Caenorhabditis elegans: one gene and its partner. The protein of the gene in region 2 interacts with the protein of the main gene of each other region in a pairwise test. Each region holds a gene or a part of one and is shown on either strand. Other genes may lie near its edges.

The links.
Region 1: the proteins of glrx-5 (region 2) and gldi-4 interact in a two-hybrid assay, tested with the Caenorhabditis elegans proteins (one large-scale study listed by BioGRID).

The regions. Positions count from the first base shown.
Region 1 is NC_003282.8:7,015,816-7,020,848, reverse strand, and holds gldi-4 (ZZ-type domain-containing protein), read right to left. Parts: upstream 3,224-5,033; 5' UTR 3,185-3,223; coding exon 2,983-3,184; intron 2,375-2,982; coding exon 2,151-2,374; intron 2,100-2,150; coding exon 1,029-2,099; 3' UTR 1,015-1,028; intron 969-1,014; 3' UTR 639-968; downstream 1-638.
Region 2 is NC_003281.10:12,371,829-12,375,580, forward strand, and holds glrx-5 (Glutaredoxin-related protein 5, mitochondrial), read right to left. Parts: upstream 2,030-3,752; 5' UTR 2,014-2,029; coding exon 1,810-2,013; intron 1,034-1,809; coding exon 809-1,033; 3' UTR 754-808; downstream 1-753. Other genes in the region: rpt-6 (26S proteasome regulatory subunit 8), read left to right, coding at 279-629; pph-4.2 (Serine/threonine-protein phosphatase 4 catalytic subunit 2), read right to left, coding at 2,658-2,796, 3,752-3,752.

The DNA of each region.
Region 1 (5,033 bases), on a different chromosome or scaffold from region 2:
ATGTGTTATCTCGTGTCAAACACACATGACACCTGGCAGACGACATGAAAATAATATATTTTCCCAGCTTATCAATCTGATTAATAGATGGAAAATTTCAGAAAGACACGAAAAGAAGTACAAAGTTTATTTTGAAAAAAAAGGACAAATATTTTCAAGTCAACAAGGTGTGTCTGGAACAATTCGTTTTAAAACAAAAGTTCAACCGAGGATCTATTGCAAAAACAATCCTTTTAGATACATTGCACTGGATATTTTTTGAAACGACTATTAAAATCAAATCTAAAAAGTATCTAGATGTCAAACAAAACTCCCAGAAAAACGGATGTGCGCCTTTTATACAGTAACTTCAAAAATTCATTGCAGCAGAATTTTCATCGATTTTTGTCGTGTCGAGACCCGGTACCGTACTTTTGGGACGAAACTCGCGAAATTAATCTTCTGGATAATAGTAGAAACGTATGTCGTTTTAGAAGGTTTGTTTGACATTTACATTTTTTTAAGATCTGATTTTTTAATTTTGAATCTAAAAATGAATTCATAAAGTTTACAGACTTTACAATTAAAGATTCTTTTTTTTTTTTAATTTTTTATCCTCCCCTGTCTCACTATTCTTATGTATATTGGCAAGCTAAATTCTGATTTTCAATTTATTTTATTAATGCGAAATGAAAAGATTCACAAAATTGGAAAATTACAATTTTAGACTTCAGAAAAAATAAAAAAATAAAGATAAGACAGTACAATGGAAAAATTTAGATATTTGAATTTTTGCAATTCTGCAAAACAGTCTGAGTTTTCTGATTTGATAAGAAAGTTGTTATGAACAATTTGAACAATTTTTTAAATATTTGGAGGATTCATGAGAATATTGAAATGCATATTATCGTTTGGAAAGTCCTTTTGAATTGGAATTACAGTGCTGGTTGAGAGTACAAGATGGAAGTTGAATCCTCTGTTTTTGTTATCTGAAATTGTTGATAAATATCTTTGAACCAAGGGATGATAACTCACATTCAACAATACGTTTAAGATTGTTTAGCCTCTTCCTCAACGACATCAAAATCGTCTTTCTCTTGGTCATCAGAGCTCTCAGACGAACACTCATATTCTTCAATGTCTTTGAGAATTTCAGCAAGATCACTCAAAGAATCTTCATCCGAAAAAATAGATCCGGGATAGTTGCTCTCAGCAGTTTCAACTTCAAATTCGACTTTTCTTGTAGTATCATCTTCGCTTTTCTTTCCATCTTTGACTTTATTAAAAATCGGTTCAAAACGATCCGAAAAGAAAGCCCTATTCGTTTCGAAGTTTATAGTTTCTTGCTTCATCATCTCTTCAATTTGTTCCTTTTGTTTCATGAGCGTTTCCTTTTCAACTCTGAACTTTTCCTTTTCTCTGATGAATTCTTGACGTGAAGCCGAAAGATCGAATCGAAGTTGCTTTTCGTGTTTATCGAGGCTAGATTCTGCTTTCTTGTAAAAGCGATCGCGGAAAGAAACTTTTTGAACTTTTTTACCATCAGTTGTATCTTTCAGTTTTGGATGCATTCTTTCATAAGTTTGCGGTTTCCTGCTAGACATGTGCTGAGCATACCATGGGTCCTCAATAATGTTTCGATCACTTTGTGCATTCAAATATCTCGAGACATTGTTCTTTGTTGCGATGGCTTGAGGGGTTATGCCCAATCTCCTCAAAGGAACCTGGATAGCTCTGTCACGAGAAGAAGCAATTGCTTGAACTTGACCGTTTTGATCTTTTACCTCCTCTGGGTTTTTGACAATCAAATGTTCGGGGAACAAAGTATTTTCTGACACCAATCGAATCAATGCATGCTGAGCATGAACTCCGGCAGCTTCACATGTTTCGCACAAATCGTAGTTGTAGCATATAGCACACTTGAATCGATGCCCAATAATCAAATCTTGGCACTTATCACATGAAGCCTCGTGAACTTCCTTGTTTTTGAAGGAGTTTTTGTCTTCTTTTTTGCGACACTGATTCTCAAGCTTCATTTCGGAAATATCCTTTTGAAGAGATTTGATTTCCAGTTGTTGCTTGTCTAGAAGCTCTTGAAGTGAGAGTTGTCCTTCAGCAATCTAATATAGTTTTCTTTTAGAAACAAGGGAAACGAATCAGAAAAATAATACCTCAGTATCCTTCATAACTCTCCATGCCTTGTCAGATTTCATCGTTGCCTTACATTCATTCACAGTCCGACCCAAATCATCCAACTTGGCAATTACCGAGACATCCAAGATTCTGACATGAAGAAATAGCTGAGGAAGTTGAGAATGATAAAAGCTCAATTCCGGGCGAATGTTGTTGTAGATCTCATAGCCACTGGACAGAACTACAGGGCCATCCTTGGTAACTGAAAATCATATCTGGTATAAGATGACTGACATTTTATATAGTGCCAGCTGAAACTCTATTCGTATTTCTTTTTTTGTAGTTTCTATTTAAAGTGAGCACAACTCAAATACTAGCTCATTTAGATTTGAAAATTTTCAACTAACAAAATTTTGCTCTTAACGATTTCTAAAATTATGTTATCAAACAAATTATCATAAATTCTTTGGAAAAAGTTACAGCAACCTGCGGTTGGGTTCAGATTAAATTTGATAAAACGATATATTTTCCCTATAACCTCTATTGTTCTACTTTGTTTTTTGTCAACTGTGTGTGCAACAACAATAGTTTTGAAACATCAAAAACTCAATTTTTAGACAGGTCAAATCACATCCAAATGCTTCAAAAATCTTGTCAGCCGATGTAACTTCTTTTCATAGAAAAACGGAAGCGTAGATAAAATTCAATTTTTCATAATTATAATTTTTCAGTTGATCAAATTTTGTTGGACATATTGATTATTGTGTTATACTATTTTGAACAACTCGAATAGTATCTGGAAAACCTAAAATAACCAATGAAATTCGCGCAGGCACTGTGCATCTAAATTTCATTTAAAAAAAAACTTACTGCAGCTAAACTCAAAATCAGCAGCCGAATGGATGGTGGAAGATCCCAACTCGACGAACGTTTTTCTGAGTTGATCGAGGACTTGACATTGACATGAGAGTTCCAATACAGCATTCTTGTTGATATCCTCATTGTATACACGCCAATGATAGTTAACCTTGACACGGCATGTTTTGTTATGTTCACGGCACAAAGGTATCATTGGGATGACAATTGGAAGTTATCAAGTTATACCAAGTTTCTGGAATTATTTATCGAAGTTCTAGAAATAGTTCAATATGAGAGAAAAATTAAGGAAACATTAATACATATTTTGAAACAGTGTGCAATTTCTATTTCGCATAATTTCTTTGCCTGTTTTTTAGAGAGAGGTTGCGAGTAAGATATTTATAAACCTAACAGAAAATGGCATTATAAACATTGAAGATATATATGCATAGAGGTTCTTCTGCCAAGAACGTTTGGGAAAAGAGCAAGGAGAAGTAGGAGACTCAGAGACAAAAGTGTTCCCCGCGCGGAAATGAGTGGTACCTCGAAATAGAAATCGATAAGCGTGTGCCCACTTGTCCGGGGGTACAAGGGTCAATTGGATTATGAGGTATTAAGTTTGGGCTATTATTATTAGAAATGAACCATAACTGGAGAATCTGTGGACTTTTTTTCTCCCGTAAAAAATTCCCCCATTTTTGCTGAAACGATTTTATTCAAAGTGACTCATCTTGCAAAATGACGAATCACAATTTACAATAATTTTTCGGCGACAGTTCAAAGGCACACGCTGTTTTTTGAGAGGGTCTCGCCGCGATCTCTGTTAAAATTATCGTTATAGGGGCAAATATTTACAGATTTGTTAATTTTTGGTAGAAAATGAAGTTTATAAACAACAATTTAACTTCTGTGCACAGAGAAAATCAGGATTTACCAAAAGCACCTAGTTTGGAAGGATTGACGTGAAATTCCAATCGGCCGCCTGCGCCTGCCTGCGTTTAATTTCGAAATGAACAAAGACTAAATATAAAGTGTAAAAACAGATTGCAACCTTCATTTGCCTTTTCTCCTCTCCGTCTCTTTCTCTCTCTGTTTTCGTTTCCTCTCTCCGTCTCCCAATTTTTCATTCTATTTCGGTTTTACATATGTGTATTCAAAAACGAGATAGAATTTTGGAAAAATATAAAGTAAATTTGGAGAGCGCCTAGAAACAGAGAAAACACAGAAAATCACGCGGAAAAGCTGTCGTACGCGGAAGATGTGCATGCATAATGATATCACTGAATTGGACATTTTTCGGTGTAAAATACAATTTATTTTTACAACACATACAATAAAAGGTAAAATGACCAAACAATATTGCATTTAAGAGAGAGAGTGAAAAAGGCTTGGATTTACCCAAAAATAGGGAAGAAGTACGGGATTGAAATTGAAAAAAAAGTGAGAGGACATACTTAAACACTGGATAAGAGAATAATTGTTCGTTTTTGAAAATTGCCAAGTAGAATAAAATTAAATCAAACTTTTCGCTTAGAAAAATTGGCAATTGTCAAGAACAAACAACCCTGAAGATTCGAAAATACAATGCAAACTATAATAAACAAATCATCAGGGGTGGTGGACGTTTTGGAGGCGCATCAGACCAGAGGCGCTCACGATGGAGTTTAGCCAAAGGTCGTCACAAAGCTGCCTCTACTAGCGACCACCGACGGTCCAATTTTGAAGAGAGTAGGTGATGAAATAAAATGACATTGAGATTTTAGGTTTATTTGTTTTTTTTTTTGAATTCATATTTTAAAAAAGAGATCCTAAATAAAATCAATGTTCATTTCATTCCAAAACCCAAATTCTCCCCCAAATTGGACCCTTCTTAACCTCAGCAACCAGAAGCTTGTAATTCCTCATCTCCTTCCTTCTTTTCAAGAGTCAACGTGGTGAAGTTCTCCGCGACAGTTGGATGAATTCCAATGAGACGATCAAAATCTGCTTTCTTTGCAGCCAATTTCAACGCGATTCCGAATCCTTGTGTCACTTCACCAGCATTTGGAGTGAGAATGTGGAAG
Region 2 (3,752 bases):
GATTAAAAAACTTCAAAAAATGAAGAAAATCAGTGAAATAATGAGAATAAATTTTAAAAAATTAATGAAAATACTACAAGCGCGCCCCAACGAACGAGTTAAATTGGCAGTAATTTAAATAGGAATTAGGGGAAAACTGAGATTTTTTCAATTTTCAAAACAAAAAAGCATATAAAATCTAGAAAATTTTTTTGAATTTTTTAAATCATAATATTCGGTCATCCCACTTAGCGTAGTCCACCTATAAATATTCCAAGCTTCTATATATAAATGTTCAGGTCATCATGGCAACCAATCGTATCGACATTCTCGACCCCGCACTTCTCCGTCCCGGCCGTATCGATCGTAAGATTGAGTTCCCGGCTCCAGATGAGAAGGCTCGTGCCGATATCCTCAAGATTCACTCGCGCAAGATGAACTTGATGCGAGGTATCAACATGGCCAAGATCGCCGAGCAAATTCCCGGAGCATCGGGAGCCGAAGTCAAGTCGGTGTGTACCGAGGCTGGCATGTTCGCGCTCCGTGAGCGACGTATTCATGTGACGCAGGAGGATTTCGAGATGGCTGTTGGAAAGGTTATGCAGAAGGATTCGGAGAAGAATATGTCCATCAAGAAGTTGTGGAAGTAAAAATAAAAATGCAAATTTCGACTTTTTTTATCGATTACCCCCCCCCCCCTTTCACTGATTTTATTGTAAAAAATGGACCCTATTTATTTATTGTCTTTGACCTCCCGTGCTCTCCTTCTTTTGCTGAATAATGCAATCTTTATTCGAAAAAAAAACGTCTAAATTTCTAACAGGATTATTCATTGCTTCCCATATTTATTCGAGATTCCCTTTTCGTCTAAAAAGTCGGAAATCTCTCCGTCTTTGTGCATTGAAATGAGAATATCACATCCGCCGACGAACTCTCCCTTCACATAGACTTGTGGAATTGTTGGCCATTCGCTGAAAATCTTGACACCTTCTCTTAGCTCCTGATCGGTCAGAACGTTGTAGTCTTGGAATTTTACATTGTGGAAGTCGAGAACCTGAAATGGGAAAATGTGATTTTTTGGGATTTTTTCTTTTTTTTTTTAAAGCGAAACTATTACGGTAGCACTAAATTCTGAGAATACGTATTGCACAACACATTTGACGCGCAACATATGAAATATCTCGCAGCGAAAACTACAGTAATCCTTTAAATGACTACTGTAGCGCTTGTGTCGATTTACGGGCTCTATCAAAGCTGGTAAATCGACACAAGTGCTACAGTAGTCTTATTTAAAGGATTACTGTGTAGTTTTCGCTACGAGATATTCCATATTTTGCGCGTCAAATGTGTTGCACAGTACGCATTCTCGGCATTTTGTGGTTTTGTAATATTTATCATCGAATTTTTGTCGACTTCAAGCTAGGAAAGCTCGAAATAATGAGATTTTTCAAAAAATTTTAAAACAGCGGCCTTTTAAGCTCGAATTTTACCAATTTTACCAAAAGAATCGAATAAAAATCAAATGCTGGCCGTTGTGATACGGAAAAACTGGTAAAATTTATTTTGATTTTTTTTCTGAATTTTGCAATTTTTTTCAAAAAATTTGAAGAAAATCGTTCTTTTGAGGCGATTTTAAGCCCAAGAATTACACTAAAAATGCTAACCAATTAGCGATTCGCTCGGCCCACTTTTGAACCAATCAGACGGTATGGGCGGAGCGCGAAGACGCTGATTGGTCGGAGAGTAGTCAAATTTGAAAAATTGCCTATTTTGCAATTTTTTTTTGTTGAATTTTCCACTTTTTTCCACAAAATCTCCATTTTCCCGTACCAATTTAACATTTCTCGAGAATCCACACGCTGGCTCCTGTTGTGTTCCCTTCATAAAAACGACAACATCATCTTTTTTCACGATTCCGTCGATTCGTTTGCGAACTTCATCGCTAAGTCCGCCACCACCGGCTGATGAAGCTGAAGCCGAGAAGTTGGCTGCTCGAACCATTGAGAACGCTTGACGTGATAGTACGCGCAACATGGCTGGTTTTTTTTGGCTGAAAATCGGGGTTTTAGAGGAAAATTTAGGAAAGCAATTACAAAAAACCACCAAAAAATCGCGAAAGATATTTTCAAATTTTGGCTAAAAAATTGATTATTTTTGTTGAAAAATTGGAAAAATAATTTTAAAAAATCTATAAATTTTCAGTAAAAACCGAAATAAAATCGGCCACATGATTTTTTTTCGGGCGTCATAGGGCACTATTTCGCAATCAATTGTTCAATTTTTTTAAATAGAAATTGATAATATTTAAAATTTCAAAATAAGCATTAGTTTTTAAACTCTTACAAATCGGAATAATAATAAAAAATTAAAATTAGAAATTTTTTCTTCGAAAGGAGAGCACTCGTGTGTTATAATAAATACCAGAAATTGAGGTGAGAACTTGAGCGGGAAAACAATAACCGAAATATTTTGAACCCGGAGGAGGTGAGAATTTACAAAAAATGATGATAAAATAATCAAATAATTAAATATGAATTCCTAGATAAAATGGATAGTAATTGAAATATTCACAAGAATGAATGAGATTTTTTTTCTTTGAGAAATTGAAAAATAAGATTTTCGAGTAAAAGTGCTAGAATGAGGGTAAAATTGGGGGTGGGTTTTTCGCAAAAAAAAAATCATAGAAAATATTGAGCAATCGGTTGCTTTTTCGGCTCTCCTCGATTCTCCACTGTTGCCGCTTCGAAAACTTCAAAAACGGGGTCGCTGTCGATATTTTCCTCGGTGACCTCCATGATTGCCGCCACGTTTCCGCATCTGAAAATTCGATGTTTATTCTAAATTGTAAATAGGAAGGCGCAGTTTCGGGTTTGCAAGCCTGCGGCGCGGTGTCGATTTACGGAGGATTTTGTACTACACGTGGACAAGTTTTGGTCTATTTTTGCGAATTATTTTCGTCTTTAACATTGAAAATGGTTAATCAGGGTTGATTCCGACTAATAAAATCGAAAAACGAGCTTTTTTCTGAAATTCTAAAAATTTTGGGTTTTTAATTTTCCGATATTTCGACTTTTTTTAAAAAGATTTTTCTAAAATTAGATTAAATTTTGAAAATTTTTCTTCTTTTTAGGTGGCTTTTTTTTTTGTTTTTTCTCATCAATTTGAACAAAATTAGAATTTAAAAAAAAAACGAATTTTATGGTTATTTTCTAACAAATTTTGTGTTTTCGGTGTTTCGATTTTACAGAAAATCGGCAAAAAACTTTTTTTTTCAATTTTTCGAATTTCCTTGAAAAACATCGAAAAATGACACCAAAAACCGGTCAGAAAATAAAAAATTTAAAAAAAAAGAAAATTTTCTGACCGTTTTTTTGGTGTCATTTTTCGATGTTTTTCAAGGAAAATCGAAAATTTGAAAAAAAAACATTTTTTGCCGCTTTTCTGTAAAATCGAAAAACCGAAAACACAAAATTTGTTAGAAAATTAACCTGTTTCACTTTTTTTCCTTAAAATTTTACTCGAAATCATGACAAAAGTACAATTTTGATAAAAAACATTTTTTTTTGCGTTTTCGGTTTCGAAAAAATCCTTTTTTGTCGGATTCAGACCATTCTGAACGCTTTTTTTTCACAAAAATAGTCAAAAAACAGTAAAAAATCGGGTTCTCAGTTGTCCACGTGTAGTACAAATCTGCAGGCTCTTATCTATCTGTTTCGACAGTAAAATTCAATTTTAATGCATTTTTTGGAGCAAAAATTCACAAAAATTCTACC